Stegostoma tigrinum: one gene and its partner. The protein of the gene in region 1 purifies or fractionates together with the protein of each later gene. This does not show direct contact. Links are inferred from orthologs where the notes say so. Each region holds a gene or a part of one and is shown on either strand. Other genes may lie near its edges. The genes, in order: park7 and eno1a.

Evidence for each region.
Region 2: the proteins of park7 (region 1) and eno1a fractionate together in Homo sapiens (co-fractionation; 3 studies listed by BioGRID). This does not show direct contact. The link is inferred for Stegostoma tigrinum from reciprocal best matches to the Homo sapiens genes PARK7 and ENO1.

What each region holds. Positions count from the first base shown.
Region 1 is NC_081381.1:26,092,339-26,108,771, reverse strand, and holds the start of park7 (Parkinson disease protein 7 homolog), read left to right. Parts: upstream 1-7,601; 5' UTR 7,602-7,645; coding exon 7,646-7,777; intron 7,778-12,808; coding exon 12,809-12,910; intron 12,911-16,433. UniProt on the Homo sapiens protein: Multifunctional protein with controversial molecular function which plays an important role in cell protection against oxidative stress and cell death acting as oxidative stress sensor and redox-sensitive chaperone and protease.
Region 2 is NC_081381.1:15,889,320-15,905,635, forward strand, and holds the start of eno1a (enolase 1a, (alpha)), read left to right. Parts: upstream 1-9,641; 5' UTR 9,642-9,773; intron 9,774-9,877; exon of another isoform or gene 9,878-9,995; intron 9,996-10,007; exon of another isoform or gene 10,008-10,195; intron 10,196-16,316. UniProt on the Homo sapiens protein: Glycolytic enzyme the catalyzes the conversion of 2-phosphoglycerate to phosphoenolpyruvate. In addition to glycolysis, involved in various processes such as growth control, hypoxia tolerance and allergic responses.

The DNA of each region.
Region 1 (16,433 bases):
CATTGGCAAGAGTCTGTTCATTGTGGAGATGTTTAAGAGACAATGGATACACACATGTGTGTGACGTGGAATTAATAGGAAATGCAGTTTAAGAAAAAGGGAATTAATTGTGACTAAAAACTTAAGGACCTCAGATGCTGTAAATCAGGAACAAAAACAGAAGTTGCTGAAAAATCTCAGCAAGTCTGGCAGCATCTGTGAAGAAAAAATTAGAGTTAACGTTTCGGGTCCAATGACCCTTCTTCAGAACTCTTTTTTTGCGTATACTTTGGGTCTAGATTGTTTAAGGTGCAGTGATGGCTTTTAGTAGAGTGATGCACTCTTCCTGTTGGATGTGGGAGATTAGGGAGAATTTCAATGTTCCTGGAGATTATGTCTGCAGGAAGTGTGTTTAGATGCAAATCCTATTGGATTGTATGGATTGGCAGTTAGAGGCAATGAGGGATTTACAGGAGTCAGGGATGGTGATGGATGGCAGTTTCAGGGAGGTTAAAAATATTTCAAATACAATTGGGTAGATGGATTACTCTTAGGAAATGTAGGAGGGGTAGTGCAGGAGTGTCCTGTAGCTATCGCCATCTCAAACATGTTTGCTGTTTTGGATAAGGGCATAATGGCCTTTCAGGACAATATAGCACTGACAGCCAGGCTTCTGGGATTCAGAGGGCCTCTACTGTGACGAGGGGTACATCAGGTGATTGATTGTGACAGGGGCACAAACATTTCTGCAGCTGACTGCAAGACGTCAGAATGGTATGTTGCTCCCCAGGTCAAGGATGTCTTGGGGAGAATGCAGATTTTTCTCAAAGTGGACAGCAACAAGTAGTACATCATTGTACACTTTTTGGTACCAATGACATAGGAAGAGAAAGGGACAAGGTTATGTAAACAGAATATAGGAAATTAACAGGAGGTTAAAAAGTAGGTCCTCGCAAGTAGTAATATCTGGATTACTCCTGGGGCCATGTGCTAGTGAGAGAAGAAGTAGGAGGATAGAGTAGATGCATGCATAGTTTAGGAGCTGGTGCAGGAAGCAGGGATTCACATTTTTGGATCATTGGAGTTTCTCCTGGGGCAGAAATGACTTGACAAGAAGAACGGGTTGTACTGAATTGGAAGCGGAGCAATATCCTGATGGGGAGATTTGCTTGTGATACTCAGAAGGATTTAAACAAATAAGGGGGCTGGTCCTAAAGAGATAATGAGAAAGAAATGTCTGAGGCTACCACAGTACAGAATACAAGCAAGTTAAATAGTCAAGGCAGGCAAGAGCAAGGTAGTGAATGAGGTAAAACTGATAAATTAATCTGCATTTATTTCAGTGCAAGAGGCACTGATGAGTCAGATGAACTCAGGGCATAATTAGGAACATGGCAAAAAATTATATAGATAGAACTGAGAAATAAGAAAGGGATTATCACTTTATTGGGATTGTACTATAGGCCCCCCAATAGTCAGCAGGATATTGAGTAGCAAATTTGTAAGGAATCTGAGATATCTGTAAGAATAAGAGATAACAAGATGTGAAGCTGGATGAACACAGCAGGCCAAGCAACATCTCAGGAGCACAAAAGCTGACGTTTTGGGCCTAGACCCTTCATCAGAGAGCCTTTAGAGAATAATATGGTTGCAATGGTAGGAGATTTTAACATTCCAAACATAACACTAGAACTGCCATGGTGTTAAGGGCTTGGATGGAAAGGAATTTAAGTATGTACAAGAAAATTTTCTTAATTGGCATGTGGATTTACTTACCAGAGAAGGGGCAAAACTTGACCTTCTTTTGGGAAATAAGACAAGGCAAGTGACTGAGATGTGTGTGGGAGAGCACTTTGGGGCCACTGATCCTAATTTTATTAGTTTTAAAATAGTTATGGAAAAAGTTAACAAAGTGTTAAGCTGGATGAACACAGCAGGCCAAGCAGCACCTGTGCTCCTGAGATGCTGCTTGGCCTGCTGTGTTCATCCAGCTTCACACTTTGTTATCTTGGATTCTCCAGCATCTGCAGTTCCTGTCATCTATGGAAAACGTTAGACTGATTTAAAAGTTAACATTCTACATTGGATTAAGGCCAAGAACTTTCAAAAGTTGATTGGGAGAGGTTACTTGCAGGAAAAGGGATGGTTGGAAAGTAGGAGGCCTTTAAAGGTGTGGTAATGAGAGCCCAGAGAGAGTGGTCCTGTTAGTGTGAAGGGCATGACTGGCAGGTGTAGGGAATGCTGGATGAATTGATGCTCTCTTCAATGGGGTATATATTGGGTATAGATGGCTGGGATCAACGGTAAAAGAGTATTTGAGCAGCGGGAGTATACATAAGAGGCAAATCAAGAGGGCAAAAACAGGACGTGAGGTATCTTTGGCAAATAGGGTTAAGAAGAATCCAAAGGGATTCTACAAATACAAAATGTAAGTAGGGAGAGAACAGGGCCTCTTAAAGCTTAACAAGGCTATCTGTGTATGGAACCATAGGAGGTGGGTGAGATACTAAATGAGTAGTTTGCATCAGTAGTAACTGTGGAGAAGAAATATGGAAGCTAGAGAACTTAAGGAAATAAATAGTGATATTTTTAAGAGCCCATATTACGGAGGAGGAGGTGCTTGACATCTAAAAATGCATAAAGATGGATAAATCCCTGGGACGTAATCAGATATACCCAGAACTAAACAGGAAGTTGGGGAAGAGATTGCTGGGTCCCTTGCTGAGATATTTGAATGGGTACATGAATAGGTAGAGTTTAGAGGGAAATGAGCCAAATGCTGGCAAATGGGACAAGACCAGTTTAATATATCTGGTTGGCATTTACAAGTTGGACCAAAGGGTCTGTTTCATTGCTGTCTAATTCTTTTTTTAAAAAAATTATTCATTTTTGAGATGTGGCATCCCTAACTGGCTAGCATTTATTATCCATCCCTAGTTACCCTTAGGTGGTTATGAACTGCCTTCTTGAACTACTGCAGTCATCTTGCTGTGGGTTGACTCACAATGTCATTTGGGAGGGAATTCTAGGATTTCGACCCAAAGATAGTGAAGGATTGGCAATATATTTCCAAGTCAGGATGGAGGAAGGCTTAAAGGAGAAATTGAAGGCAGTGGTGTTCCTGTGTATGTAGTGCCCTTGTCCTTCTAGATGGAAGTGGTCGTGGGTTTGAAAGGTGCTGTCTGAGGATCTTTGGTGAATTTCTGCAGTGCATATTGGAAATAGTACACAGTGCTGCTACTGAGTGTCAATGATGATGGGAGTGAATGCTTGTGGGTGTAGTGCCAAACAAGCGGGCTGTTTTGTCCTATATTGTGTCAAGCTTCTTGAGTGTTGTTGGGGCTTCACTCATCCAAGCAAATAGAGAGTATTCCATCACATTCCTGACTTGGGCCTTGTGGATGGTGGTTAGAATTTGGGAAGTCAGGAGATGTGTTACTCACCACAGTGTTCCTAGACTCTGACCTGCTCTTGTAGCTGCTGCATTTATTGGTGAATTTAGTTGAGTTTTTGGTCAATGATAAACCCAGGGTGTTGACGGTGCTTGATTCAGTGATGGTAATATCATTGAATGTCAAGGGGTGGTGGTTAGTTTGTCACTTAATGGTGAATGCCATAACCTGGCATTTGTTACTTGCCACTTTTCAGCTCAAGTCTGGATATTTATAAAGATTTTGTTGCATTTGGACATGAACTACTTCAGTATCTGAGGAGTCACAAATGGTGCTGAACATTGTGTGATCATCTGTGAACGTCTCCACTTCTGACCTTATGATGGGGGGAAAGTCATTGATGAAGCAGCTGAAGATGGCGGGGCATAGGACACTACGCTGAGGAACTCCTGTAGAGATGTCCCAGAGCTGAGACAACTGACCTCCAACAACCACAATCATCTTCCTATGTGTCAGGTATGACTCTAACCAACAGAATTTGCCCCTGAATTCCCATTGATTCCAATTTTTCCAGGGATCCTTGATGTCACTTGATTGAATGCAGCCTTGATGTCAAGGGCTGTCGCTTTCACCTCACCTCTGTAATTCACCTCTTTTGTCCATGTTTGAACCAAGACTGTAATGAGGTCAGGAGCCAAGTGGTCCTGGCGGAACCCAAACTGGGCACAATTGAGCAGGTTATTGCTGAGCAGATGCTGCTAAATAGTACTTGATAGACATCTTCCATCACTTTACTCATGATCAACAGTAGACTGATGGGGCAGTGATTGGCCTTTTGAATTTGTCCTGCTTTTTATGTACAGAATGTACTTGGGCAATTTTCAAATTGTCAGGTAGATGCCTGTACCTGTACCTTTATATGCTTGTAACTGTACTGGAACAGCTTGGCTAGGGGAATAGCAAGTTCTGGAGCACAAGTCTTCAGTACTATTGCCGGAATGTTGCCAAGCCTGTAGTCTTTGTAGTATCCAGTGTCTTTGACTGTTTCTTGATTTAACATAGAATGAATTGAGTTGGCTGAAGACTTGTATCGTGATGCTGGAACCACTGAAGGAGGCCAAGATGGATAATCCACTTGGGACTTCTGGCTGAAGATTGCTGTGAAAGCTTCAACCTTATCTTTTGCACTGATGTGCTGGGCTCTTCCATCATTGAGGAAACCAACGTTTGTGGAGCCTCCTCCACTGGTGAGTTGTTTAATTGTCCACCACCATTTACGACTGAATGTAGCAGGACTGCAGATCATAAAGCTGATCCTTTGGCTGTGGGATCGCTTAGCTCTGTCTATCTGTCTGGCTCTGCTTATGTTGCTTGTCATGAAAGTAGTCCTGTCTGGTCGCTTCGCCAGGCTGTCACCTCATTTTTAGGTATGCCTGGTGCAATTCTTGTCATGCCCTCCAGCACTCTCCATTGATCCAGGGTTGATCCCCTGGCTTGATGGTAATTGTTGGGTAGGGGATTTGCTGGGGCATGAGTTTACAGGTTGTCCTAGAGTACAGTTCTGCTGCTGTTGATGGCCCCCAATGCCTCCTTAATGGCTAGCCTTGAGTTGCTAGATCTGTTCAAAGTCTGTCCCATTCAGCATAGTGATAGTGTCAAACAACACGATCAAAGTTATTCTTAATGTGAAGGCCAGATTTCATCTCCACAAGGATGATGGTGGTTGCTGTTATGAATACAATCATGAACAGATGCATCTGCTGCTGGCAGATTGTTAAGGATGAGGTCAAGTATGTTTTTCCCTCCTGTTGGTTACCTCACCATCTGCTGCAGACCCAGTCTGGCAGCTATGTCCCTTGGGATCTGACCAGCTTTATCAGTGGTACTGCTGCTGAACCATAGATATTGAAATCCCCCACCTAGAATATATGCTGTGCCCTTGCCGTCCTCAGTGCTTCCTCCAAGTATTGCTCAACATGGGGAGTACTGATTCATCAGCTGAAAGAGAGTAGTATGTGGTAATCACCTGGAGGTCACCTTGCACATTTTAACTCCATGGCTCCAGAGTCAATATTGAGGACTCCCAGATCAACTCTCTTCCAACTGCATACCATCATGGTTGCTACCGCTGCTGGGCCTGTCCTGCTGTTGGGACAGGGCATGTCCAGGGATGGTGATGTCGATGTCTGGGACATTGTCTGTAAGGTATGATTCCGTGAGTATGACCACGTCAAGCTGTTGTTTGACTAGTCTGTGAGACAGCTCTCCCAATTTTGGCACTAGGCCCCCAGATGTTACTGAGGAGGACTTTGCAAGCTTGACAGTGCTGTTTCTGTCTTTTCTGGTGCCTAGGACGATGCCAGTTGATCTATCCAGTTTCATGTCTTTGATACTTTGCAATGACTGGTCCAACTGAATGGCTTGCTAGGCCATTTTGGAGGGAAATTTCAAGTCAATCACATTGCTGCGGCTCTGGAGTCACATGTAGGCCAGAGCAGGTGAGAATGGCAGATTTTCAGACTTTAATGAACCAGATGGGTTTTTCTGACAATCGACAATGATTTCAAGGGTCATAAGTAGATTCTTAATTCCAGAATTTTAAAAAATGAATTCAAATTCCACTATCTGCTGTAGCAGGATTCAAACCCTGGTCCCTAGAATATTATCTGGGTCTCTGGATTAGTTCTGAGGAAGGGTCCTCAGACCCAAAATGTTAACTCTGATTTCTCTCCACAGATGCTGCCATACCTGCTGAGCTTTTCCAGCAACTTCTGTTTTTGTTTCTGATTCACAGCATTCACAATTCTTTTCACCCCCTCTGGATTAATAGTCTAGCAATAATACCACTAAGTTAATGCCTTCCAATGACTCTATTTACAAGAAAATAGTTATAATACCCTTACTGGGCTACTTACAAATTCTACATCGCAAACTCAATCACTTCCACCTAGGTCAACGTAGAAAGATGATAATTTGATGATGGGACAAGATTCTGACATGATGTATTTGGAAAAAGTTCTGTCACGCACAGAAACACTGATCGTAAAGGTGCAGGTATAGCTAGTCCAAAAAAGTATAAGTCCAAAAACCTGATACAATGCTACCCTAGGAGGTTATTCTACATTGGGATGAATATTGTAAACATTGCTGTGTTGGTTAATTTGAAAGATATAAGAATCGCTAAAGATTATTCTAAAATGATATGGCCGTTACAGAGTTGCAAGCATTACTTGGAAGATGTAATATATCCACAGGGACACCTGGTCCAAACAATTCAGGCCAGTGTTTATCTATGTGGACCTCCTCCCATTCTCCATCATCCAAAACTTTCTGATCCTTTCTCCGTCATGCTCTTATCTGGCTCCCTCTTATATATATCTATATCGTTCATCATAATCATTCCCAGTGGTAATGTTCTGCATTATTAGCTCTGGGTAACCAAGTTATTCTCAATTCCTTTTTGTGTTCATTGGGTTGCTCCTTTATATTAGGCTTCTTCCCCACAAGTGGAAAATCTCAAAGCATGATTTTAATTTGGTGTAAATGGATAGACTTAGAATAGGTTGAAATTCAGCCTTCTGTAACTATTTTGTCCCAAAAACGGAGTGAATATTTGTAGCTTGACTATTGGTACCATAAATAAGCTGCTAATATTGCAGCACTCTCATGCGCCACTATACTCGGATGGAGTTAATTGTTGGAATTAGGGACAAGTGGTTAGGTTTAGGATTGTGAAGGTTTCTATGGAGACTTTGGGGTTTGGATTGTGCTAATTAGGCAATTCGGGGTTAGGGCGTTGGAGTCAGAACCTGCTATTACAGTGATTTTATGACTGGGTACAAAATATCTTGAAGCAGTGATATACAATATTGCAAATTTGGAAATTTGAAGTAAATACTGGAAATATCAGCTGATCAGCCTATATCTCTAGAGGGAGAAATTGACGTATTGTCGCAGCACAATACATCAATTCTAATGGAGGGTCATTGACTGACTTGAAATGTTAAATTTGCTTCTCTCCGTTGCATCAGCACTGATGATGCCAGACTTGCTGAACGATTCTAGAAGTTTCTGTTTCTACTTTTGACGCTGTCAGTACTGCAGTGCGGCTATTTTGAATTTGTGGATGTGAGATTGTTCGCTGAGCTGGAAGGTTCGTTTTCAGCGAGCAATCTCACATCCAGAACCTCAACCTGAGCTACAAATCTTCTCAAAATTTTGAATTTGTGGCGCGGTGTGTTAGGGGCCTACTCGGGAGTCGTAGCCCGACCCGTATGATGCAACGCGCAAGCGAACGAGCCGGCACTTGTTCCAAGATGGCGGCCAAGCGTGCGCTGTTGATTTTGGCTAAAGGGGCCGAGGAGATGGAAACGGTGATTCCTACAGACCTAATGCGTCGGGCTGGGGTGAGCAGGCACATTTGTGGTTTGATAATAAATCTATTTCAGTTTAAAGTGGGAAATGGCGTAGTTTTTGTGCGTTTGGTCGTCAGCCGTGATTGGCAGGCAAAATATCCAATCAGTGTAGAGCAGCCCTGGTCCCGCCTGGCTGTGCAGTCAATGGGATTGCAACTGTTTGACCTGGATTAACCTCTTAGTAAATTTCAGAGGTGGGGGACATATTGATCTTTCTCTCGTTACTGCCTCAGTTAGTCTTTAAATAACCAAATGCATTTGTGGAGTTGTGCTGCAGCTGGAAATAGTTCAGCAGTTATGTTTCAGACCTAGGAATCCAGAAGCCCAATAATTCATGGTTCAAATTCTAGCTTTGCAGTTGGAAATTCATTGGAGCATAAGAATAGGTCATTTGGTTGGTAAAGTCTGATCAGTCACTTTCTCAATCAAGGATTCATAGTTAGAATTCTGCAGCATGGAAAGAGGTCGCCAGCCTACTTTATTCGTGCTTCTCGTCAAGCACATATTTGCATTTCCTGTACTTCACCAGTAGCCTTGCAACTTGTCGTTGGATGATATAGGTATCTATATGTTACTACTTCGTGCTGTTTGTTAACAAAATCTTTGTTTTGAAATCATTTGTTAACTTAGCACTTGTTGTTTCTTCTGGAAGAAGTTTCCAAATTTATGCTACTCTTTACATGCAGACGTTCCCTAATTTCACTCCAGAAGAAACGCACTCAACTTTCTTGAGTAGTCCGTAAGACCTAGACACGCCACTTTGTATCTAATCCATCTTTTCCTGTTGATTCAAACTTATTAAGGTATCGGGTAATATCTGAATATCAAGGAGTACAATTCTCAGTTATTTCATCTGTCTTTGCAGTTTAAAATATGAGGGAACAAGTATAATTCATGTAAATTATAAGCACTACATTCTGTCCAATCCTAATGTATCTTCCCTAATGCTGCCAGAAGTCCAATTTTGGTCTAATTGGCTTTCTGTATGCCTGAAGCATGCATTGTACTCCCTTGAGTTGTAGTCTTGTTGGTATAAAAACCAGGATTCCATTAGCCTTGGCAAGTATGTATATGAAATTGCCCATGTTTGAAACAAGATTGTAAAGGGTCCTGGAGCTAAGTGCCCTTGGAGCCTGAGTTGAACATAAGTGATCAAGCTGTTGCTGAATGTTGATTGGTAACATTGTTGATGAGAACTTGCATCACTTTGATTGAGAATAGACTGGTTCAGTCATTGACTAGATTGGTCTTGCCTTGTTTTTGTGAACAGAAAAGCTTGGCAGTTTCCTATTGTCAGAGATGCTGTTGTCAGGGCCTTTTTAATGTATCCTGTGCCTTCAACTATTTCCTGATATGAAATGGAATGAAAGGAATTCTGTGAGAAGTGACATCTGTGATGAAGGTGCCTCATGTTGGGAATGGACTATCCATTCTGTTCTGCTGGCTGAAGATGATGTAAAATCATCAGCTTTGACTTTTGAAAACTGAAAGAACTGCGGATGCTGTGAATCAGGAACAAAAATAAAGTTACTGGAAAAGCTCAGCAGGTCTGGCAGCATTTGTTAAGGGAAAAACGGTTAGCATTTTGGGTCCAGTGACCCTTCCTCAGAATGTGTGTGTGAGCTTTGACTTTTGCTTTGATGCCCTACCCTCCCCTGTCACTGGAGGTGGCGTGTTTTATGCAGGTGCCTTCTTTAGTTAGGTATTTACTTGTCTCTTCACCATTTTAGGATACAGAATTTTGACCTTTTTATTTATCTGTGGGATTTCTTTCCTCACCAGTATGCTGACTTTGGAGTTGAGCATGCAAATAGTCCTATATAGTTGCAACAGATTGGCACTTCAATTTTAAATACTTCTGAAGCTGTTCCTGCTTGATGAAGAATATGTTTGGTTATGTTTTGTGGTTTACTACAATTTTTCTGATTAGCTCACTCTGCCTCATTGATTCCCAGTTTTAAGCTGCTAGATCTGTTCTAATTCTAGCTCATTTAGCATGAATAGGAAGACAAAACTCTGCTGGGTATCAGAAATAATGGGAACTGCAGATGCTGGAGAATCCAAGATAACAAAGTGTGAAGCTGGATGAACACAGCAGGCCAAGCAGCATCTTAGGAGCACAAAAGCTGACGTTTCGGGCCTAGATGTTACTCTGCTGGGTATCTCCAGTACGAAGTGGGGACTGATTCTGCACAATGACTTTGTAATACTGTGTCATGGACCAAACACCAAGTAGATTGGTGAGGGTGAATCATTTTTTTTCCATCCTGTTTCTCTTCGCCTGCTGGAAGCCATGTCTTTGAGATCTCACTTAGTAGTAAAGTTACTGAGCCACCTAATTATGGAAAGTCTTCCACCAAGCATACACTCTGTCTTAATCCAGTTGGTGACCAACAGAACTGCAGGTAGTAATCATAAAGCAGTTTCTCTCCTCTGGTTTGAACTGATGCTGAGATCTCATGGGGCGCACAGACCATATTGAGAACTCCCAGGGACACTTCCTCCAGTGTAGCACTGTGCTGCTGCTTCTGAGTCTGGCCTGTCAGTGGGACAGGACATGCCTAAAAGTGGTGATGTCGGTGTCTCGGACATTGGCAGTAAGGTAAGGATTTGATGAGTATGACTGTCAGGCTGTTGCTGGATAAGTCCTTGGGGCAGCTGTCCCAATTTTGGCACAAACTCTTGGATATTGGGAATGAGGATTTTGAAATGTTGCCTGGGTAGTTGGTGCTTTTGATGCCTGGTGTTGTGTTCAATTTATTCTCCTCTGTTACTGCTGTGGTGGTTTCATACAATTGACTGGATTGCTATGCAATTTTAGAGGAACGTTAAGAGTCAGCCAAACTTTCATTGAATCTGGAGTCCTATGTAAACTTGAATAGTTAAGGCTAGTGGATTTTGTTCCCTGTTGGACATTAATAAATCAGTGAATGAATCCTATGGGTGACTTTGTATTTTAAAAAAAGCCACTGATTCTGCTATTAAAATGTCACTTTAGCGAAAACATGTCTTGCATTCATGTCTCCATTTTGCATCTAAACTGTCTTGGTGGTTACAAGTATTATGGCTACAATGACCGAAAAGTACACTATGGGGAAAGTCTTGTGTTTAGCAAGTTCACCAAATGCCAAAGGAATGACTTTCTGGTCAACCTGATATTCAAGGTGGTTGAGGGTAGAACTTTGAACAGGATTCCTGATCCGTGACGATTCATTTGAAAGCAACATCACCAATACAATGATTACTCATTGCACTGGAGTGGTGAATAGATTACATGCTGCGGCAGCCATACTTGTTGAACTTCAAGTATTCGACTATATAGTGCTAGCTGGCTACTAATTAAGCAAAGCTGAAATTGTAATAAACAAAATAGTGGAAATGCTCATGTTAGGCTGCATCTGCGGAGAGGGATAGAAAAGAACCATTAACACTTCAAATCAATGCCTTTTAATCAGGACTGGGGGAAAAAATACAGATTTTGTGGGATTTGAAACCTGATCAAATACAAGAAGGAAAATAAAAACTTAAAGAAGGGAAAATAAAAGCCAGAGGAGGTGAGCAGGGTTTTAAAACAAGACAATTTGAAATTGCAATGGAGTGGAGAGCAAAGATTCAAATTCTTGTTTTGAAAAAACTTACTAAACATGTTTAACAAATTGTATGAAGGTTTTTAAATGTATTTTAATTTTTGTATCTTAAGTCTCTTTTACAGAGATTTACTCTGGTTATTATGTATCCACAAGTTAAACGTTAACCAAATTGTCAGACTAAATCACTAAAAGGTGAACAATCTGGGATTGTGTGGGTGAAGTTTGCGATTATGTAACCTCCTGTTGGTAGACTTCAAGAGAGTGAATTTTTAAAATCTGGTTTTAATTGTAATCTACTATTGAATTTGAATATTGTTTATAGCTTTTCCACCTCTTTCTATTCCATTATCTCCCTACATTGTCCACTGCTGAGGTAGGAGGTGTGATTTGATGCTATTTTAAGTTTGCTATTGCTGTACATTAGAAAGACAGCTGTCACAGGACTGTCTTACTAACATGTCTTTCATGCTCCTTGCTGTAATTCCAACTAATATCACATGGAAAGTCCGTTATGTCTGCCTACTGTGTCCAGTTCTGGTTGCCCACTTATAGGAGGAATATGATCAAGCTGGAGAGGGTTCAGAAGAGATTTACCAGGACGTTTCCAGGTATAGAAAGTTTGAGTTATAAAGAGAGGCTGGATAGGCAGGGACTTTTTCACAGGAGTGTAGGAGGTTGCAAGGTGACTAAAATAAGTTTATAAAATAATAAGAGATTTAGGTAGAGTTAATGATCATTGTTTTTTTCTTAGGTTGGGGGATTTCAAGACTGGGGGCACATCTTTAAGGTGAGAGGAGAAGATTTAAAAAAGACATGAAGCAAATTTCTTACTCGGAGGGTGATTCACGTGTGGAATGAACTGCCAGAGAAAGTGGTGAATGTGGGTAAAATTACAATGTTTAAAAGACATTTGGACAAGTACAGGTTTGGAGGGATATGGGCCAGGAACAGGTAGGTGGGATTAGTTTAGTTTGGGATTACGTTCAGCATGTATTGGTTGTTTCCGTGCTGTATGACTCTATAAGACAAGAACATGGCCTATGTCTCAAGTTATTTTAACCTTCTGTTATTCTTACACAAGATAAGAATATAGTATACTGAAGCTAGTGCTATTTAATTGCCTTAATTTTCTCCTTGCATTGGTCCTACTGCTAATGCTAGTGATGAGGTTTGTCATTGCTTATGATCGCTCAATACTGCGTGGATCTTTTTGGGCCTGGAACGACCTGTTCTTGAATTGTACTCTGTTTTCTCACATTTGAAGTGGATGCTGAATAACATTCTTACATGTTTTCTTTTGCTTCACCAGCATTCCATTGGCACTCCTGAGTAGCTGAGCATTCATGGTGCCTTACTGCTGGGCCGTGGTGAACCTCCGCAATGACCTTTCAACAGGCGGTGATAATCAATGTTGTTCTTTTTTATATTTCAGATAACAGTAACGGTGGCAGGGCTGACATGTAAAGAACCTATAACGTGCAGTCGTGATGTGGTTATTTGCCCTGACTCCAGCTTACAAGATGCAGCTAAACAGGTACATTGTTTCTGCTTCAGTGACAAGTAAAGGCAAATAGGGTAGTTCCTTTTATTTTGAATATTGCTTAATTAAACTGTGTCAAATGAACTTTAAGTTCATACTCTAATTCTGCAGCATTTTGTAATTGGCATTGGCTTTCTTCCAGATTAAAGTTTGTTGTACACTTGCAGGCTTGATGCAGATTTAGTGTACATCAAGGTGCCTGATCATGGACTACAGTTGTGTTAAGCTGAGGTCCTCTCTGACCTATTGGTTATAATGCTGAGCTATTTTGAGCTGTTTATTTTTGAGCAGCCTGGCAATATCACAGTTTAAAAACAAATTAATCACTGACTATGTTGGCAAGGCCCATATTTATTGCCCTACTTTTAAATGTCCTCAAGACACTGAGTAGTGAACTACTCCAGTCCTTGTATGTATTCATCCATAGTTTTCATTGGTAGGGAAACTGGAGATTGTGACCTTGAGAGAGAGATGTATTTCCAGGTCGAAATATGGGTGACTTGAAGGAGAACTCGAAGGTGGTGAGGTTGATAAATGCATGCTGCTCTTGTTCTTCTCTGATTTGGAAGAATCTTGACAAGTTGCTATGGTGTGGCTTGTAGTTGATGTCGACTGTTGCTATTATGTGCTAGTGGTGGAAGGAGTGAATGTCTGAAGAAAAAATGGAATGGCGATCAAACAGGCTGCTTTGTTTAGGGTGCTGTTAAGCTCCTTGTATTGTTGGATCTGCTGTTATCTATCCAATGGGGAGACGATTGGCTAAACTGGATTTGTCGTACTTTTTGTGGACACGACATAACATGAGCAATTTTCTACTTTTGTCAGGTAGATGTCAGTGTTGTATGTGTACTAGAACAGGCCAGAGACGCAGCCATCTCCTGGAGTACGAGTCTTCATCACAGTAGCTGGGATGTTATCAGAGCTCACTGCTTTAGCTTTATCCAGTGCACGCAACGTTTATTGAATTTGCTGACATTTTTATTTTTAACTCGCTTGTGGGACATGAGCATTGCCAGCTGGGTCACGTTTATTGCCTGTCTCTGGTTGCTGGTGAACTGCCTTTTTGCATCACTGCAGTCCATATGCTTAGGTAGACCCACAGTGCTTTTCAAGAGGGACTTCCAGAATTCGGTCCAGCGACAGTGGATGATGGCAATTATATTTCTTGAGTCAAAATGGAGTGGCTTGGAGGGGACCTTGCAGATGGTAGTGTTCCTGTGTATCTAATGTCTTTTCCCTTCTGGTCATGGGTTTAGAAGGCCAGAAGGAGCTTTGGTGAATTTCTGCATTGCATTTTGTAAGTACGTACTGCTGAGTGTTGGTGACAGAGGGGCCAACTGTTTTTGGATGTAGTATTATTCAAGAAGCTGCTTTGTCCTGGGTGATGTCAAGCTTCTTTGGTATTGTTGGAGCTGCACACCATCCAGGCATGTGTGGAGTATTCCATCACATTCATGACTTGTGTGTTCTAAATATTGCACAGGCTTTGGGAGGTGAATTACTTGCTACAGTATTTGTAGCCACTGTCTTCATAGGGCTAGTGCAATTTAGTGATAATCCATAGGAAGCTGATGGTGGGGTATGCAGGGATGGTAATGCTGTTAAATGTCAAGCAGTGGTGGTTAGATTGTCTCTTCTTGGAAATGGTCATTGCCTGGCATTTGTGTGGCATATATGTTACTAGCCATCTATCACCCCAAGCCTGAATATTGTCCAGTTTTCTTTTGCATTTGGACATGGAGTGCTTCAGCACCTGAGGAGTTGTGAATGGTGTGGAACATAATGCAATTATTGACAAACATCCCCGCTTCTGACCTTTTATGAAGGAGAGAAGGTTCTTGATAAAGCATTTGAAGATTTTTGAGAGTAAAAACTGCAGATGCTGGAGTTGGAGGAATGCAGCAGGCAAGGCAGCATCAGAGGAGCAGGAAAGTTAACCTTTCGGGACCCTTCTTAGGAAAAGATTGAGCCTAGGATACTACGCTGAAGAACTCTTGCAAAGATGGCCTGAAGCTGAGAAATCTGATCTCCAACAACCGCAACCATTTTCCTGCATACCAGGTATGTCTCCATTCACTTGCCTGATATCAAGGGCTGTCACTTCCACTGCCCTGCCACACACACACACACACACACACACACACACAAGTTCAGCTCTGTTGTGAATGTTTGAGCCAGCGCTGTAATGAAGTCAGGAACTGAATGGCCCTAGCAGAACTTAAACATCCGTGTGCAGGCTCTTACTGAACAGACACTGCTGCAGTAATTGTGATGCTGGGAACATATGGCAGATGCTTGGATGGATCATTCATTTGATACTTCCGGCTGAATACGGTTGACTTTCACTCACTGCTGGACTCTGCCATAATTGTAGAGGGGCTAATCAATGATTTGCCTCCTCCATTAGTTTTTTTCTAAATCATCCACCACCATTTGCAACACGATAAGCACTAGTCAGTCAGTGCTATCTCCACTTCATTCATATCTCTAAATGAAACGCTTAGATAAAAATCAAAAGAACTGCGGACGCTATAAATCAGGAACAAAAACAGAAATTGCTGGAAAAGCTCAGCAGGTTTGGCAACATCTGTGAAGAGAAAATCCAAGTTAATGTTTCAGGTCCGGCGACCCTTCCTCTGAACCCTTAGATAATCACTTTAGAATAAGTGTATGAGATTTAGCACATGATGAGGTAACCCAATAGTAGAGTCAGGATATGTAAGACTTCTCACTGATGCTCTGTCTCCATTTGGCTTGAAGGCCTGTTGGCTGTGTCACAACTGGTTAATTATGTCATATTTAGTAAAGAAGGGGCAAGTTGTCTATAAAAACAGACACAATTGTGCAAAGTTGTCCTTTTCAACTTGCTGTTAACAAATCACTTTGTCTTTTTATCATTTGGGCACCTTGGCATAAATCACAAAGGGAGCATTCAGTAAACCATTGGATGACATATTGTATCCTTTGGAAGATGAGAATTCGAAGCTTCTGAGGAAATTGACTGGAAGTACTCCTCCGGGGCATTCAAGCTTAGTTGGTATTGCTTTGAGGAATAAATGAATTATCAAAAGTTAATATAGTAGCCATCTTAAGCTTTCAGTCTTTACAATAAACACTGAGACACCACCTTAAGCAAAACTGCAAGAGAATCTTTGAGAGACACCATCAGGGGAAGAAAGATCATTTTCAACAGGGGGCTGAAAGGCAAACCATCTAAGGACAACTATGCTGAACTAGGGTAAAAGCAGCTATCCTGATTTTAATTTTCTTTCTTCACACCAGACGTCTGAGGTCCATGTATGTTAGTGACTTCCAGAGCCAGAAGTCAATGCTATGAATGATGTTGATGTGCCAGTTGCTGTGCCCTCCTAAGCAGCTATGCATGTGCATAGCTGTGCAACTTAGAGAGAACTTTGCCTGCAGGGGCTACAACCCCAAATTTAGTAAAAGCAAAATAAAGGAGACTGGTACTCTTCCTCAGAACATGTTCTGTTCAGTTGACCTGCTGTGAACTGTT
Region 2 (16,316 bases), about 10 Mb from region 1:
ATTGAACCTGCCACCACCATAATCTTAGGCAGTATATTTCCAGACCCAAATCACTGATTGTGAAAGATGTTTTCCCTCAATCACTTATGCTTCTGTAACTAATAAAAGATGAAAGAATGCAGGGCTACAGGGATAGAGTAGGTGATGCATCTGGGTGGGATGCTTTCTGGAGGGTCAGTATGGAGTTGATGGGCTGAATGGCCTGCCTCCACACTGTAGGGATTCTATGATTCTAAAGGTCCAAATGGATTTCATCCTAGGTCTTAAAACATTGATCCTAGGTATGAATAATGGTTTTATTATTATGTATATTTTATGGTGAAGAATAACGTGAAAAGCTTGATACTGTGCAATTTTGAATAGTTTAAGAATAACATTTTTAGAAATGATATAGCTCAAACAGTCAATAATCCTGCCACCACCTCTTCACCACCACCAGCCCCAAACCCAACCAACTCTGAACTCGCCAGTCCTCAGGCACTATCTTATGCCACTGTGCCTACCTCACTGACGTTGCGTCTGCTGATGTATCAGCCAATGCCAGGTTCCATGTTTGCCCCTCTGCCAGCTACACCCTCCTTGTCAGCTTGGACCCTGGTCCAGGCTCACCAGCTGGCCCATCATCGTCCGCCAGAGTTCCACCAGCCACTGCCATGCCCCGAACCCCGAAGAAGCTACCTTCCTACTGCCTCCTGCCTTCCTTGTCAATCCCATCACCGCTGGTGCCACTGTGACCAAGCACTCCCCAGAAGGTAGGTAGTAGAAAAAACCAAAAGCAAAGAAAGAAATGATAAAAGAAGAATGAGAAAAGAAAGTTGACAGAGTGGATGAGACCTGGGCTCAGGTAGTAGATGGAATAGTATTAGTTTTCCAAAATTTCCCAGATATAGGAAAGGCTCCATCAAGCGTGACATAGTGGTTCAGTGTTTAGCACTGCAGCCTCACAGCACTAGGAACCTGGGTTTTAATCCAGCTTCAGGTGACTGTCTGTGTGGAGTTGGCATGTTCTCCTTGCCGTGGAAAATATAGAGTTACAGATTTGGGATGGGTCTGGATGGGATGCTCTTCAGAGGATCAGTGTAGACTCAGTGGGCTGAATGGCCTGTTTCCACACTTTACGGATTCCATTATTCTAAACGGGAAATTAGCAAATATAATCCTCCCACATATTCAAGAAGAAAGAGAGGTGGAAAACGATACCTAGCTTATCAGCATTATGTTAGAAGCATTCATTTTCTATAGGAGATATAGGTGTGCATTTGGAAAACCTCCAGGTGATAAGAAAGCATCAGTATATTTTGTCACACAGAGAAATGAAACATTTTTACTGATAAGCGCATAATGAGGATTTTAGAGATAATACAGTGTGGTGCTGGAGGAATGCAGCGGGCCAGACAGCAGCAGAGGGGCAGGAAAGTTGATGTTTTGGGTTGGGACCCTTCTTCAGAAATGGGGAGGGGAAAGGGAGCTGGGAAATAAATAGAGAGAGGAGGGGAAGGTAGGTGGGATAGTGATAGATGAGTGCAGGTAGGCAGTGGTGGGGATTGTTCAGTGGGAATGGTGGGGTGAATAGGTGGGAGAGAAGATGAACAGGTTGTGTCAGGTCAAGGAGGTGGGGCTGAGAGGAACGGTTGGACATGGGATGAGCCTGAGGGTGGGGAGGTGTTAAAACTGATGAATGCCATGTTTAGGCCATCGGGTTGTAGACTCCCAAGGTGGAATATGATGTCCTACTCCTCCAGTTTCCACGTGGCGTCATTGTGACACTGGAGGAGGCCCAGGATGGATATGTCACCCAGGGAGTGGGAGAGGGGGTTAATATGATTGGCAACCGGAAGGTGATGCCATTTGTCACGAACAGAGTGCAGATGCTGTATGAAATGGACTCTAAGTCTACACTTGATCTCACCGATGTAGACGAGGCCACAGTGAGAGCAGCGGTTTACAGATGATAAGTTCACAGATGTGCAGGTGAACTCCTGTCGGTTGTAAGAAGTTTGTTTTGGGCCTTGAATGGAGGTGAGTGAGGAGATGAGGACGTGAAGGGGCAGGTATAGTACTTCCGGCAGGTTGCAGAGAAATGGTGCCAGGTTGGTGGGGTTAGTGGGGAGTGTGGAGTGGACGAGGAAGTTGTGGAGAGAGTGGTCCCTTCAAAGGCAGATGGGACTGGGGAGGGAAATATATCTTTGGTGGTGGGGTCGGATTGCAGGTGGCAGAAATGGCGGAGAATGATACATTAGATGCAGAGGTTGGTGTGGTGATATGTGAGAAGAAGGGGGATTTTGTCTGTATTTTTGTTGGGAGAAATGGGGTTTGAGGGCTGAGGTGTGGGAAATGCAAGAGATGCAGTTGAGAGCATTTTCGATCACTGGTTGGGGTATGTTATGGTCCTTGAAATAGTATGACATTTGGGATGCGCGGGAGTGGAATGCCCCATCTTCAGGGCAGAGGTGGAGGAATTGGGAGTAGGGGATTGCATTCTTGCAGGACAGTGGGTGAGAGGAGGTGTAGTCCTGGTAGCTATGGGAGTCGGTGGGCTTGAAATAAATGTCAGTTTCGAGGTGGTCACCAGAGATGGAGATGGAGATGGGGATGGAGATCCAGAAAGGAGAGGGGGGTATCAGAGATGGTCGAGGTGAACATGAGGTTGGGATGAAAGGTATTAGTGAAGTTGACGAACTGTTCAAGCAGAGGAAGAGGTGGGGAATAGTGCCATTGTAACAGCGGAAAAGGGACTGTTCCATATACCCTATGAAGATGCAGGCCCATGCGGGTGCCCATGGCCACCCCCTTAATCTGTAGGAAGTGGGAGGAGTTATAGGAGAATTTGTTCTATTATATCCTGTTCTATATCCTGTTGGCAGGAATGTAAAAGGAAAACTTTTTAAATTTATTTTCTCTATTTTTTTTGTACCTAAGATTTGTACCTAGGTACTTTGTTCCTAAGATGTGCCATGTGTTGGAAACATTGGACAGTTTTCACCGTTCTCCTGTACTTTTGTAACTGGAGGAGACATGACAAGAAGCCTAATTTAAAATTCTAAATTCTAAAGCAGTCTGGAGGGGCTGAAAGGTTTATTTCTGCTCCTATTTTGTATGTTTGTATGTATCTGAATATAAAACACTGATTTGTCTGAACAGAGCTCTGCACAAGTCAAACTCTTTCCTGACTAGCACCAGGAATTTCTTTCTTTCAGATTTTCCTCAATTGTATCTGTTTCATGTCTCAGTCAAGAGATGATACCTCCAAAAACACGGTGAAGCTCATCATTAGAACTCCACTACACTCTCAAAGTTGTGGGGGCAGGGTGCGGTTGAACTGGCACAAATTTCTGCCTGAGAGATATGAGATCCAAGCTGGTACCAATGCAGATGTTTACACCAACAGAAAAGACGACACCCAGCTTGCTGTAACATTGAAGGTTGTTTGGCAAGCGAGGAATCGATTTTTTTTGTGGATTCATTAGATGCGAGCATCCTTGGCTGAGCCAGCATTTGTTGACCATCCCTAGTTGCCATTGAGAAGGTGGTGCTGCTGCTGCCTTTTTGAACTACCACAGCCCATTTGATGTATGTAAACCCACAATACTATTAAGAAAGAAACTCTAGGATTTAGACGCAGCAACACTGAAGGAACGCTGGTTGCTTTCAAACCCAAACTGCCTACCAGCGGTAAATGTTTTCAGCTGCTGAGATACAAAGTACAAGTAACTTTAGTTATCAATTTTGAGATCTGACTTTTGTTATGTGATAGAGTATAAGATTGGCACTGAATTTTTTTTTACAATCGGCCAATTAGATCAGGATTTTTATCCATTAGAGTGAATAAATCAAAAATACCGGTCACGTTTGTGTAAAGGAACACCAATGAGAAATTCCTACTTATAACGAAACAAAATAGAAATAAAAGAAAGGGTAAGTTTGATTACTGTCTCTCTTGAACACTGGCCGTCACAGTGGAATGGACAGATTCATTTGAGTCGTGAATTTGCTGCACACTGCGGAACACACTGGAAATAAGTTCAAGCTTCTGCTGAGCATCCAGCGCCCAATGTAGATAAAGAGTAATCATGGTTCATGCAAATGCTGATCACTGCAGTACACAGTGGAATTAAACTGTAAAGAATAAGTTTGATTCCTGTAGCTGAGCACTGGAGAACGTCATGGAATTAAAAGATAAGTCTGATTCCTGCTGCTGAACACTGGAATTCACAGTAGAATTAAACCATATGTTTGGGTCCTTCAGCTGATAAACACTGGAGGGTACACTGCAGTGAGAGGGTAAGTGTGAGCCCCTCCAAGTTTGTTGAGCTCTCAGTGCCCAGTGCAATGAGAGGGTAAGTGTGACCCCGCTGTGTTTGTTGATCTTTCAGTGCCCAGTGCAATGAGAGGGCAAATGTGACCCCCCCCCCATGTTTGTTAATCTCTCAGTGCCCAGTGCAATGTGAGGGTAAGTGTGACCCCCCAACCATGTTTGTTGATCTCTCAGTGCCCAGTGCAATGTGAGGGTAAATGTGACCCCCCTGTGTTTGTTGATCTCTCAGTGCCCAGTGCAATGAGAGGGCAAATGTGACCCCCCCCCCATGTTTGATGATCTCTCAGTGCCCAGTGCAATGTGAGGGTAAATGTGACCCCCCCCCCCATGTTTGATGATCTCTCAGTGCCCAGTGCAATGTGAGGGTAAATGTGACCCCCCCCCGTCTTTGTTGATCTCTCAGTGCCCAGTGCAATGAGAGGGTAAATGTGACCCACCCATGTTTGTTGATCTCTCAGTGCCCAGTGCAATGAGAGGGTAAATGTGACCCCCCCATGTTTGTTGATCTCTCAGTGCCCAGTGCAATGTGAGGGTAAGTGTGGCCCTCCTGTGTTTGTTGATCTCTCAGTGCCCAGTGCAATGTGAGGGTAAATGTGACGCCCCCCCACCGTCTTTGTTGATCTCTCAGTGCCCAGTGCAATGTGAGGGTAAATGTGACCCCCCAACCGTGTTTGTTGATCTCTCAGTGCCCAGTGCAATGTGAGGGTAAGTGTGGCCCTCCTGTGTTTGTTGATCTCTCAGTGCCCAGTGCAATGTGAGGGTAAATGTGACCCCCCAACCGTGTTTGTTGATCTCTCAGTGCCCAGTGCAATGTGAGGGTAAGTGTGACCCCCCTGTGTTTGTTGATCTCTCAGTGCCCAGTGCAATGTGAGGGTAAGTGTGACCCCCCTGTGTTTGTTGATCTCTCAGTGCCCAGTGCAATGAGAGGGCAAATGTGACCCCCCCCCCATGTTTGTTGATCTCTCAGTGCCCAGTGCAATGTGAGGGTAAATGTGACCCCCCCCCGTCTTTGTTGATCTCTCAGTGCCCAGTGCAATGAGAGGGTAAATGTGACACCCCTGTGTTTGTTGATCTCTCAGTGCCCAGTGCAATGTGAGGGTAAATGTGACCCCCCTGTGTTTGTTGATCTCTCAGTGCCCAGTGCAAGGTGAGGGTAAATGTGACCCCCCTGTGTTTGTTGATCTCTCAGTGCCCAGTGCAATGTGAGGGTAAATGTGACCCCCCTGTGTTTGTTGATCTCTCAGTGCCCAGTGCAATGTGAGGGTAAATGTGATCCCCCTGTGTTTGTTGATCTCTCAGTGCCCAGTGCAATGTGAGGGTAAGTGTGACCCCCCTGTGTTTGTTGATCTCTCAGTGCCCAGTGCAATGTGAGGGTAATTGTGACCCCCCCCCCCCCCCGTCTTTGTTGATCTCTCAGTGCCCAGTGCAATGAGAGGGTAAATGTGACCCCCCCATGTTTGTTGATCTCTCAGTGCCCAGTGCAATGTAAGGGTAAGTGTGACCCCCCCATGTTTGTTGATCTCTCAGTGCCCAGTGCAATGTGAGGGTAAGTGTGGCCCTCCTGTGTTTGTTGATCTCTCAGTGCCCAGTGCAATGTGAGGGTAAGTGTGAACCCCCCCCACCGTGTTTGTTAAGCTCTCAGTGCCCAGTGCAATGTGAGGGTAAATGTGACCCCCCAACCGTGTTTGTTGATCTCTCAGTGCCCAGTGCAATGTGAGGGTAAATGTGACCCCCCTGTGTTTGTTGATCTCTCAGTGCCCAGTGCAATGTGAGGGTAAGTATGACCCCCCTGTGTTTGTTGATCTCTCAGTGCCCAGTGCAATGAGAGGGCAATGTGACCCCCCCCCATGTTTGTTGATCTCTCAGTGCCCAGTGCAATGTGAGGGTAAGTGTGACCCCCCCTGTGTTTGTTGATCTCTCAGTGCCCAGTGCAATGTGAGGGTAAGTGTGACCCCCCTGTGTTTGTTAAGCTCTCAGTGCCCAGTGCAATGTGAGGGTAAGTGTGACCCCCCCTGTGTTTGTTGATCTCTCAGTGCCCAGTGAAATGTGAGGGTAAGTGTGACCCCCCTGTGTTTGATGATCTCTCAGTGCCCAGTGCAATGTGAGGGTAAGTGTGACCCCCCTCTGTTTGTTGATCTCTCAGTGCCCAGTGCAATGTGAGGGTAAATGTGACCCCTCTGTGTTTGTTGATCTCTCAATGCCCAGTGCAATGTGAAGGTAAATGTGACCCCCCTGTGTTTGTTGATCTCTCAGTGCCCAGTGCAATGTGAGGGTAAATGTGACCCCCCTGTGTTTGTTGATCTCTCAGTGCCCAGTGCAGTGTGAGGGTAAGTGTGACCCCCCTGTGTTTGTTGATCTCTCAGTGCCCAGTGCAATGTGAGGGTAAATGTGACCCCCCTGTGTTTGTTGATCTCTCAGTGCCCAGTGCAATGTGAGGGTAAGTGTGACCCCCCTGTGTTTGTTAAGCTCTCAGTGCCCAGTGCAATGTGAGGGTAAGTGTTACCCCCCTGTGTTTGTTGATCTCTCAGTGCCCAGTGCAATGTGAGGGTAAGTGTGACCCCCCTGTGTTTGTTGATCTCTCAGTGCCCAGTGCAATGTGAGGGTAAATGTGACCCCCCCCATGTTTGTTGATCTCTCAGTGCCCAGTGCAATGTGAGGGTAAATGTGACCCCCCCCCCCCGTCTTTGTTGATCTCTCAGTGCCCAGTGCAATGTGAGGGTAAATGTGACCCCCCAACCGTGTTTGTTGATCTCTCAGTGCCCAGTGCAATGTGAGGGTAAATGTGACCCCCCCTGTGTTTGTTGATCTCTCAGTGCCCAGTGCAATGTGAGGGTAAGTGTGACCCCCCTGTGTTTGTTGATCTCTCAGTGCCCGGTGCAATGTGAGGGTAAGTGTGACCCCCCTGTGTTTGTTGATCTCTCAGTGCCCAGTGCAATGAGAGGGCAAATGTGACCCCCCCCCCCATGTTTGTTGATCTCTCAGTGCCCAGTGCAATGTGAGGGTAAATGTGACCCCCCCCCCGTCTTTGTTGATCTCTCAGTGCCCAGTGCAATGAGAGGGTAAATGTGACCCCCCAATGTTTGTTGATCTCTCAGTGCCCAGTGCAATGTGAGGGTAAGTGTGACCCCCCCATGTTTGTTGATCTCTCAGTGCCCAGTGCAATGTGAGGGTAAGTGTGGCCCTCCTGTGTTTGTTGATCTCTCAGTGCCCAGTGCAATGTGAGGGTAAGTGTGAACCCCCCCCACCGTGTTTGTTGATCTCTCAGTGCCCAGTGCAATGTGAGGGTAAATGTGACCCCCCAACCGTGTTTGTTGATCTCTCAGTGCCCAGTGCACTGTGAGGGTAAGTATGACCCCCCTGTGTTTGTTGATCTCTCAGTGCCCAGTGCAATGAGAGGGCAATGTGACCCCCCCTCCATGTTTGTTGATCTCTCAGTGCCCAGTGCAATGTGAGGGTAAGTGTGACCCGCCCTGTGTTTGTTGATCTCTCAGTGCCCAGTGCAATGTGAGGGTAAGTGTGACCCCCCTGTGTTTGTTAAGCTCTCAGTGCCCAGTGCAATGTGAGGGTAAGTGTGACCCCCCCTGTGTTTGTTGATCTCTCAGTGCCCAGTGCAATGTGAGGGTAAGTGTGACCCCCCTGTGTTTGTTGATCTCTCAGTGCCCAGTGCAATGTGAGGGTAAATGTGACCCCTCTGTGTTTGTTGATCTCTCAATGCCCAGTGCAATGTAAAGGTAAATGTGACCCCCCTGTGTTTGTTGATCTCTCAGTGCCCAGTGCAATGTGAGGGTAAATGTGACCCCCCTGTGTTTGTTGATCTCTCAGTGCCCAGTGCAATGTGAGGGTAAATGTGACCCCCCTGTGTTTGTTGATCTCTCAGTGCCCAGTGCAATGTGAGGGTAAATGTGACCCCCCTGTGTTTGTTGATCTCTCAGTGCCCAGTGCAATGTGAGAGTAAGTGTGACCCCCCTGTGTTTGTTGATCTCTCAGTGCCCAGTGCAATGTGAGGGTAAATGTGACCCCCCCGTGTTTGTTGATCTCTCAGTGCCCAGTGCAATGTGAGGGTAAATGTGACCCCCCTGTGTTTGTTGATCTCTCAGTGCCCAGTGCAATGTGAGGGTAAATGTGATCCCCCTGTGTTTGTTGATCTCTCAGTGCCCAGTGCAATGTGAGGGTAAATGTGACCCCCCTGTGTTTGTTGATCTCTCAGTGCCCAGTGCAATGTGAGGGTAAGTGTGACCCCCCCATGTTTGTTGATCTCTCAGTGCCCAGTGCAATGTGAGGGTAAGTGTGAACCCCCCCATGTTTGTTGATCTCTCAGTGCCCAGTGCAATGTGAGGGTAAGTGTGACCCCCCTGTGTTTGTTGATCTCTCAGTGCCCAGTGCAATGTGAGGGTAAGTGTGACCCCCCTGTGTTTGTTGATCTCTCAGTGCCCAGTGCAATGTGAGGGTAAGTGTGACCCCCCTGTGTTTGTTGATCTCTCAGTGCCCAGTGCAATGTGAGGGTAAATGTGACCCCCCTGTGTTTGTTGATCTCTCAGTGCCCAGTGCAATGTGAGGGTAAATGTGACCCCCCCCTGTGTTTGTTGATCTCTCAGTGCCCAGTGCAATGTGAGGGTAAATGTGACCCCCCTGTGTTTGTTGATCTCTCAGTGCCCAGTGCAATGAGAGGGCAAATGTGACCCCCCCCCCCATGTTTGTTGATCTCTCAGTGCCCAGTGCAATGTGAGGGTAAATGTGACCCCCCTGTGTTTGTTGATCTCTCAGTGCCCAGTGCAATGTGAGGGTAAGTGTGACCCCCCTGTGTTTGTTGATCTCTCAGTGCCCAGTGCAATGTGAGGGTAAATGTGACCCCCCCCTGTGTTTGTTGATCTCTCAGTGCCCAGTGCAATGTGAGGGTAAGTGTGACCCCCCCTGTGTTTGTTGATCTCTCAGTGCCCAGTGCAATGTGAGGGTAAATGTGACCCCCCTGTGTTTGTTGATCTCTCAGTGCCCAGTGCAATGTGAGGGTAAGTGTGACCCCCCTGTGTTTGTTGATCTCTCAGTGCCCAGTGCAATGTGAGGGTAAGTGTGACCCCCCTGTGTTTGTTGATCTCTCAGTGCCCAGTGCAATGTGAGGGTAAATGTGACCCCCCCTGTGTTTGTTGATCTCTCAGTGCCCAGTGCAATGTGAGGGTAAGTGTGACCCCCCTGTGTTTGTTAAGCTCTCAGTGCCCAATGGAATCAATGCCAGCCCAGTGTCGTCGCACAGGGTGAGGTCAGACAGTGGCAGATGTCACTGTTTCCAGGGTTACTCATTGTTACGGTGCTGGAACGAGCCAATAAGAGCGGCGGCTGGGACTCGGTCGGTCTCTTTGTTGCGGCCGGGGCTCGTGTCCTTGTCGCGTCCTCAGCTGCTCTGCCCGTCTCTGCTGCTTCTGGCCCTTTCTCTCTCCCACCGCCTCCTCTCTGTGGGCAACAGGTACGCGCCGCTCCCCTCCTCTGGGGCGGGGGGGGATTAGCCAAGCAAGCAGTTACAAGTCTGCACCTTAATTTCGGCTTGGCCTCTTTGTTTTTCTTTGCAAGTGAGAACCTCCCCCAGGTCCAGGAGGAGCGTAAGCACAGCCGGAGCACGGAAGGGAGATCGTTCTGCCCATCCCGCCTGTACTGGCTCGTTTGACAGAGTTGCTGCTCGTTCAAGAAAGTCCGTGGCAAAGAGGGCGTTCCCTTACTTAGTTTGAATGAACTTCTCAAAACTGTTGAACGAAGTATTTTAACAGCTTTTAAAAGTGTATATATTTGCAAGCATTGGTGTCGATGGGGTGTGTAATATTGGCCTGTTTGCAGAACTGAGTCGGGCAGTGTTTTCCTGTCGGATTTGCTTTGGGATCGACAACGCTGCGGGTAACTGACCTGCAATTAGAAATGTACAGGATTTACCTTGTTTGTGAGTCAGTAACTAAGACTGTTTTATAGGCCCAAACAAGAAGGTTAACGTGCAGAAAATATGAGAAGAATCCCATTAATGGCTTGAGACTAAAAATAGGGAAATCCTAGTTATCTGCTAGTGTTCCTGCATTCGGGAGATCTGTGTTCGGTCGCCAGTGTAGTGTTGGAATTATGGATTTATGTGTATGCAGTGTTAAGGAAATAAGAACTGCTGTTGATGTGTTTGTAGTTTCGTAGTGTTCTCCCTAAAATGTTCGGGACTAGTCAGTTTTATTTCTTCTTGTATTTAAGGGCTAAATCTAGATTTAAGAGCGAGCACTTTGGATTTTTCGTCAATTCGAGTTTCCTGTGGTACAAGTTGAGGTCATTTTGTTTTGATTCACCCCAGTTCTACAGTTTGACAGTGCCAGAGGTCCCTGCAACTGTAGCAAACCGTCCAAGAACTTTCACGCCCACTAAAGATAACTTCTAAGATCTTCTAACCCGTATTGCGACAGCTCAGTCCACTTGACATGTAGCTGTTCCAATGTTTCTCACTCGGAGCGTAGAAACCTGCTCATCTGTACAGAATGGCCATGTCCTGACTGTTACTCTTGTTATACAATCCTATTTTTATGTCAGTAACAATTATACAACAAAATTAGAGATTGTTATGCCAGTTTCTTAACATTGTCTATTTTTAACTTCTGCAAAACTTGAAGAGCTAAATATCCCTCTGTCACCTTGTTTGTCTCCATGGCCTCTTAACTGACTCCCAATAATCCACAATTTAATGTGTGCAAACCTTTACCGCATGCATTCTGCGCTACACTGAATGCTATTTGTCCATTTAAAATGAAATAAAAGAACTGCAAATGCTAGAGATCTGAAACGAGAGAAACGGAAATTGCTGGAGAAACTGGTGAAGAATCACCCGACTCCAAACCTTAGCTCTGCTCTCTTCCCAAAAATGCTGTCAAATCTGCTCAGTTTTTGCAACAGTTTCCGTTCTTGTGCCATATGTTCACTGCTCTTTTCTGCATTGGATCCTGCTTCCTTCCCAATGTTTTCCTTCCCAATGTATTATTTCTAAAATCCTTGTCTATTTCCCACATCCCCTATCATTTCAATCCCCTCCAGACCTAGATCCTCTCCTGAGCATTCCGGTCTTCTCATTATATCTATTTGCTCCATCTCATGACCAAAGTTTCAACTGTCTTGGCTCTCAGTAACTGCTTCTAAAACCTTCCTCAATGAGGTAAATATCTTCTCAACCGAGTTTTTGGTCCACCTTCTCCCTCATCCCACATCTCCTCCCCCAACTCTCCCACTCTCCTAAACTGACGTGATTCCTCTTTCTTTGTCCCTCTCTGGGAATTGCTTTGGGATTAGTGTTATTGAGTGGCGAATGCACAACTTTCCACCTCTGCAGGCGATCTGTCATGTTTGTGCATCATGTGCCATCCTCACACATCCATCAGAACTCTCTGTGACATCCATCATCCAACTCTGCCCAGGTCGACCCCTCCTGCAGCCTTCCATTTTGCCCTCGAAACAAGATCCATGTAGCTTTACATTTCAGATCAACAAACCAGAATACTGACATAGTCTTTTCTCTGTGTCACTTTCAACAGTCTTTCTTAATTTGATTTGATTTATTATTGTCACATGTGTGTAGGTATAGTGAAAAGTTTTGTTTTGCTTGCAGTAGAGACAGATTATAATACAAAGAGCATTAGAGTAATAGAACAGTGACAACTACAATGTTATGGCTTCAGGGAAGGTGCACAGGGAGCAAGATCAACACTAAATTCAAAATTTGAGAGGGCTGTTCAGGAGTCTAATAACAGTGGGAAAGAAGCTGTTCTAGAATCTGTTGGCATGTGTGCTTAAGCTTTTGTATCTTTTAAGCTTTTGTATCTGTTCATTCTCACTGTTGCAATTTCAAGCACCTCTCAAAATTGATTAAGAATTTTAAATCTTCAACTGGGGGACCATTTCTAAAATAACATTACAATAAAATATTGAGAAAAGGAATTGCAAAGTACCGTGATAGAAACCGTATTGTCAAATGTTCAAGATTCACTCAGTTTTTCACTCATTCACTGCAACTTAGGAGCAGTTCTGTTAGTTAAAATAAAATCATGTTTTTAATTACTGCACAATTTGCAAATGACATTTTAGCCAATAATAATTATGAAGCCTTTCATGAAATCATTTAAGTAAACATTTGTCAACTATTGAAAATGTGGATTCTTTAGTGATGCAATGAGTTGTAGACCACGAGAAATAGGAACTGAAGTAGGCCATCCAACAGCATAATGGCTGACCCAACATTCCTCATGTCCACTTTCCTCCCATTTCCCTATAACCCTTGATTTCCCAACTGATCAAGAATTTATCTCAACCTTAAATGTACACAAGGACTCTGCCCCCACAGGGCAAGGAGTTCCAATGATTCACAACCTTCTGGGAGACGAAATTCTTCTTCATCTCAGTATTAAATTTGTGTTCTGTATTCTGAATCTATGCCCTCTGCTGCCTAGCCTCTCCCATGAGGGGAAACATCCTCACAGTATTTACCCTGTCAAGCCTTTTAAGAATCCTGTATGTCTCAATTAGACTAACCTGTCATTCTTCTAAGTTCCAATCTGTACCTGTTTAGCCTTTGCTGAGAAGACAATCCCTCCATTCCAGGGATCATCCTAGAGACCCTTCTCTGAACTGAAAAATTCATTTGGTTCAATGTTAAAAGAAATGTTGAATGTTGAAACCATCCCTCAGAATCTACCGAGTAATACCCTAGAGAATAACCCTAAGAAATCACTAGGTTGTGGCTGGATGTGAACATTACCAATGTAAATGAAGGATGCTGTTTGGCTACTTATTAATCCATGTGAAATATAAATTGACAAATCATTCTCATGCATTTTTATATCTAACCTAGTTATTTGCAGTAGCTATTCTTGATTTGGAACTAGTTAATCAGCCAGTCAATTCAAACATTGCATCCCGAAGATGTGTGAAAGGACAAATCCAAATTATTAGAGAAAATTGAAGTTGGACTCTCTTCATGGTGGTCTGCGGTTAATGCCAATTGACCCTGGTATCTCCATTAACACCGTTTGAATTGGTTTTCTTACCCCTCATGTACCATATAACTCAAAAGAAAGACTTTTATTTGTACAGTCCTTCTCAAAAAGCACATTTCACCACTGACTTTGAATAATGTTTATTGTGCAGTTGTCCAGAATATTTTCAAGCATGCACAAAAGATTTCTGATGGACTTTGTGCTCTTTTCGCTGTACTCCTGTATTCCTGTACTCGAGTGCATGTGACAATAAAATCTAAATCTGTTTCCAAACTGTGGTGGTCATGTTGGATAACAGACGCCCCTCAATCTGTAATTATGTCAGTACTTTGAAAGAATGAGGTTATTGAAACATTTTCTCAGTGATCTTGTCTTTCTTGGAAACATCTTACAAAGAAGGATAAACCAGGGACCTGGGTTAAGTCTTACCTGCTCCAAAGGTTCTCTGCACAGGTCGATTAGAAATATCTAGTGTACTTTGCAATAACAGGTGAGATAGACAGACATTTGATCCTGCAGGTAAGCAAGAATCAGGCAGTGTCATAGAGACAAAGAGATGTAGCAGCACAAAAACAGACCCTTCGGTCCAACTATTCCATGCCAACCAGATATCCTAAATTAATCTAGTCCCATTACCAGCATTTGGCCCATATCCCTCTAACGCTTCCTATTCATATATCCATCCAGATGCCTTTTATATGTTGTAATTGTACCAGCCTCCACCACCAGCTTTGGCAGCTCATTCTGTACACACACCACCCTTTGTGTGAAAACGTTGCCCCTTAGGTCCCTTTTAAATCTTGCCCCTCTTACCTTGAACTATGCCGTCTAGCTAAGGATTTCCCCACCCTCGGAAAAGACCATGTCTATTTATCCTATCCATGCCCCTCATGATTTCATGAACCTCTACATGGTCACCCCTCAACCTCCGACATGCCAGGGAAAATAGCCCCAGCCTATTCAGCTCTCTTGATAGCTCAAACCCTCCAACCCTGGCAACATCCTTGAAAATCTTTTCTGAACCTCTTCAAATTTCATAACATGCTTCCCATAGCGGGGAGATAACATTAGCACACAGTATTCTAAAAGTTGCCTAACCAATGTCCCATACAGCCACACTATGATCTCCCAACTCCTATACTCATTGCACTGACCAATAAAGGCAAGCATACCAAATGCCGCCTTCACTAGACTACGTGTGACTCCACTTTCAAGTGACTATGAACCTGTACTCCAAGGCCTCTTTGTTCATCAGCACTCCCCAATACCTTACCATTAAGTGTATAAGTCCTGCCCTGATTTGCCTTTCCGAAACGCAGCACACTGCATTTATCTAAATTAAACTTCATCTGCCTGTCCTCGGCCCAATGGGCCATTTGATCAAGAGAGGCCTGGAAAGTAAAGCTGAGATATGAAAGCAGACTTTGGAGACACAACCAACTCCGCTGCCTGTCTCTTATCTTCTTATAAGGTGGTTAACATCTGGAAAACTTTAGAGAATCAGCTCACTCACTAATATCTCCCCCTACCTCTCCTCTGGGCAGAAGGTCCTGAGGTCAAGTGGCTACTTCACTCAACACTCAGTTCTGCAATGATCAGAGGCATCATCTGTCAGATCAGACGTTAAAGTGGAGCCCAGCCCATCCTCCTTGCTTGATGTAAAAGATCCCATGCACTATTTTGAAGACAACCAGAGGACACCAATCCACAGTGTTCCATCCAATGTTTGTAACAGGATCTGGCCAAGACAATTTGAGAAAAATCACATCCTTTACATGAGACTCCAAGGTGTAGAGCTGGATGAACACAGCAGGCCAAACAGCTTCAGAGGAGCAGGAGGGCTGACCTTTCAGGCCTAGATCCTTCTTCAGAAATGCCTTGGCCAATTTTCTCATTCCTTCCTGTTCCCTACTTTCAAACCATTCACTACACTTAAAGAGATATTCAATTGACTGTAAAATGCCTTGGGCAACCTGCTGTTGTGAAGGGTGCTTTGTAGATGTGAGTCTGTTGTTTCCTTTTCTCCTGTATTCAGCTGTTGTCACAGTCTAATATTGATGTTGATTTGAAAGGATACCCCTTTCTAGTTTTTCAATTGCATGTTCTGTTTTGCCGCAATGATTTTGAAAGTGATGGCTTTGTGTGTGGGAATTCATTTGTCACAAACTTGATTGAGTTTTTTGAGGACATAACAAAAAAGACTGGTGACGACGGAGCAGCAGACGTTGTCTACATGGACTTTAGTTGAGTTGGTTAAGATGCATTTAGCAAACTTGCTTTCATTTCTCAGACCATTGAGCATTGGAGTTGAAACATAATGCTGAGGTAATACAGGACTTCGGTGAGGCATTTTGGAGTACTGTGTACAGTTCTAGTTGCCCTGCTGTAAGGAGGGTATTATTAAGTTGAAAAGGGTTCAGAAAATATTTGACAGAAAGATGCTGGAACTGGAGGGCATGAGTTATAAAGAGAGGCTGAACAGCTGGGACTTTTCTCACTGGACCACCGGAGGTTGGGAGGTGATGTTATAGGGGTTTACAAAATCATGAGGGCCGCAGATAAGGTGAATAGCAGGTGGTGAGTTCAAAACTATACGGCATATATTCAAGGTGAGAGGAGAAAGATTGAAAAGGGACCTGAGGGACAACTTCTTCACACAGAGGGTAGATTGTATGCGGAATGAACAGTCAGAGGAAGTGGTAGAGGCAGGTACAGTTACAACATTTAAAAGACTTTTGGACAGGTACGTGAGTAGGAAAGGTTTGGAGGGATATAGGCCAATTGCAGTCAAGTGGGACTTGTTTCATTTTGGAAATTTGGTCAGTGTGAATGAGTTGAACCAAGGGGTCTGTTTTTGTGCCGCATGACTCTGTGACTCTACGATGCTATGAGTTTACGGTCTGACCTTCTTGCACCAATAGCTTGTTTAATATCCCTCAAACACTGTATTAAGAGGATGCAGAATTCAAATCCTCCCACAGCCAATGAGGAACCCAGTTTCCAAG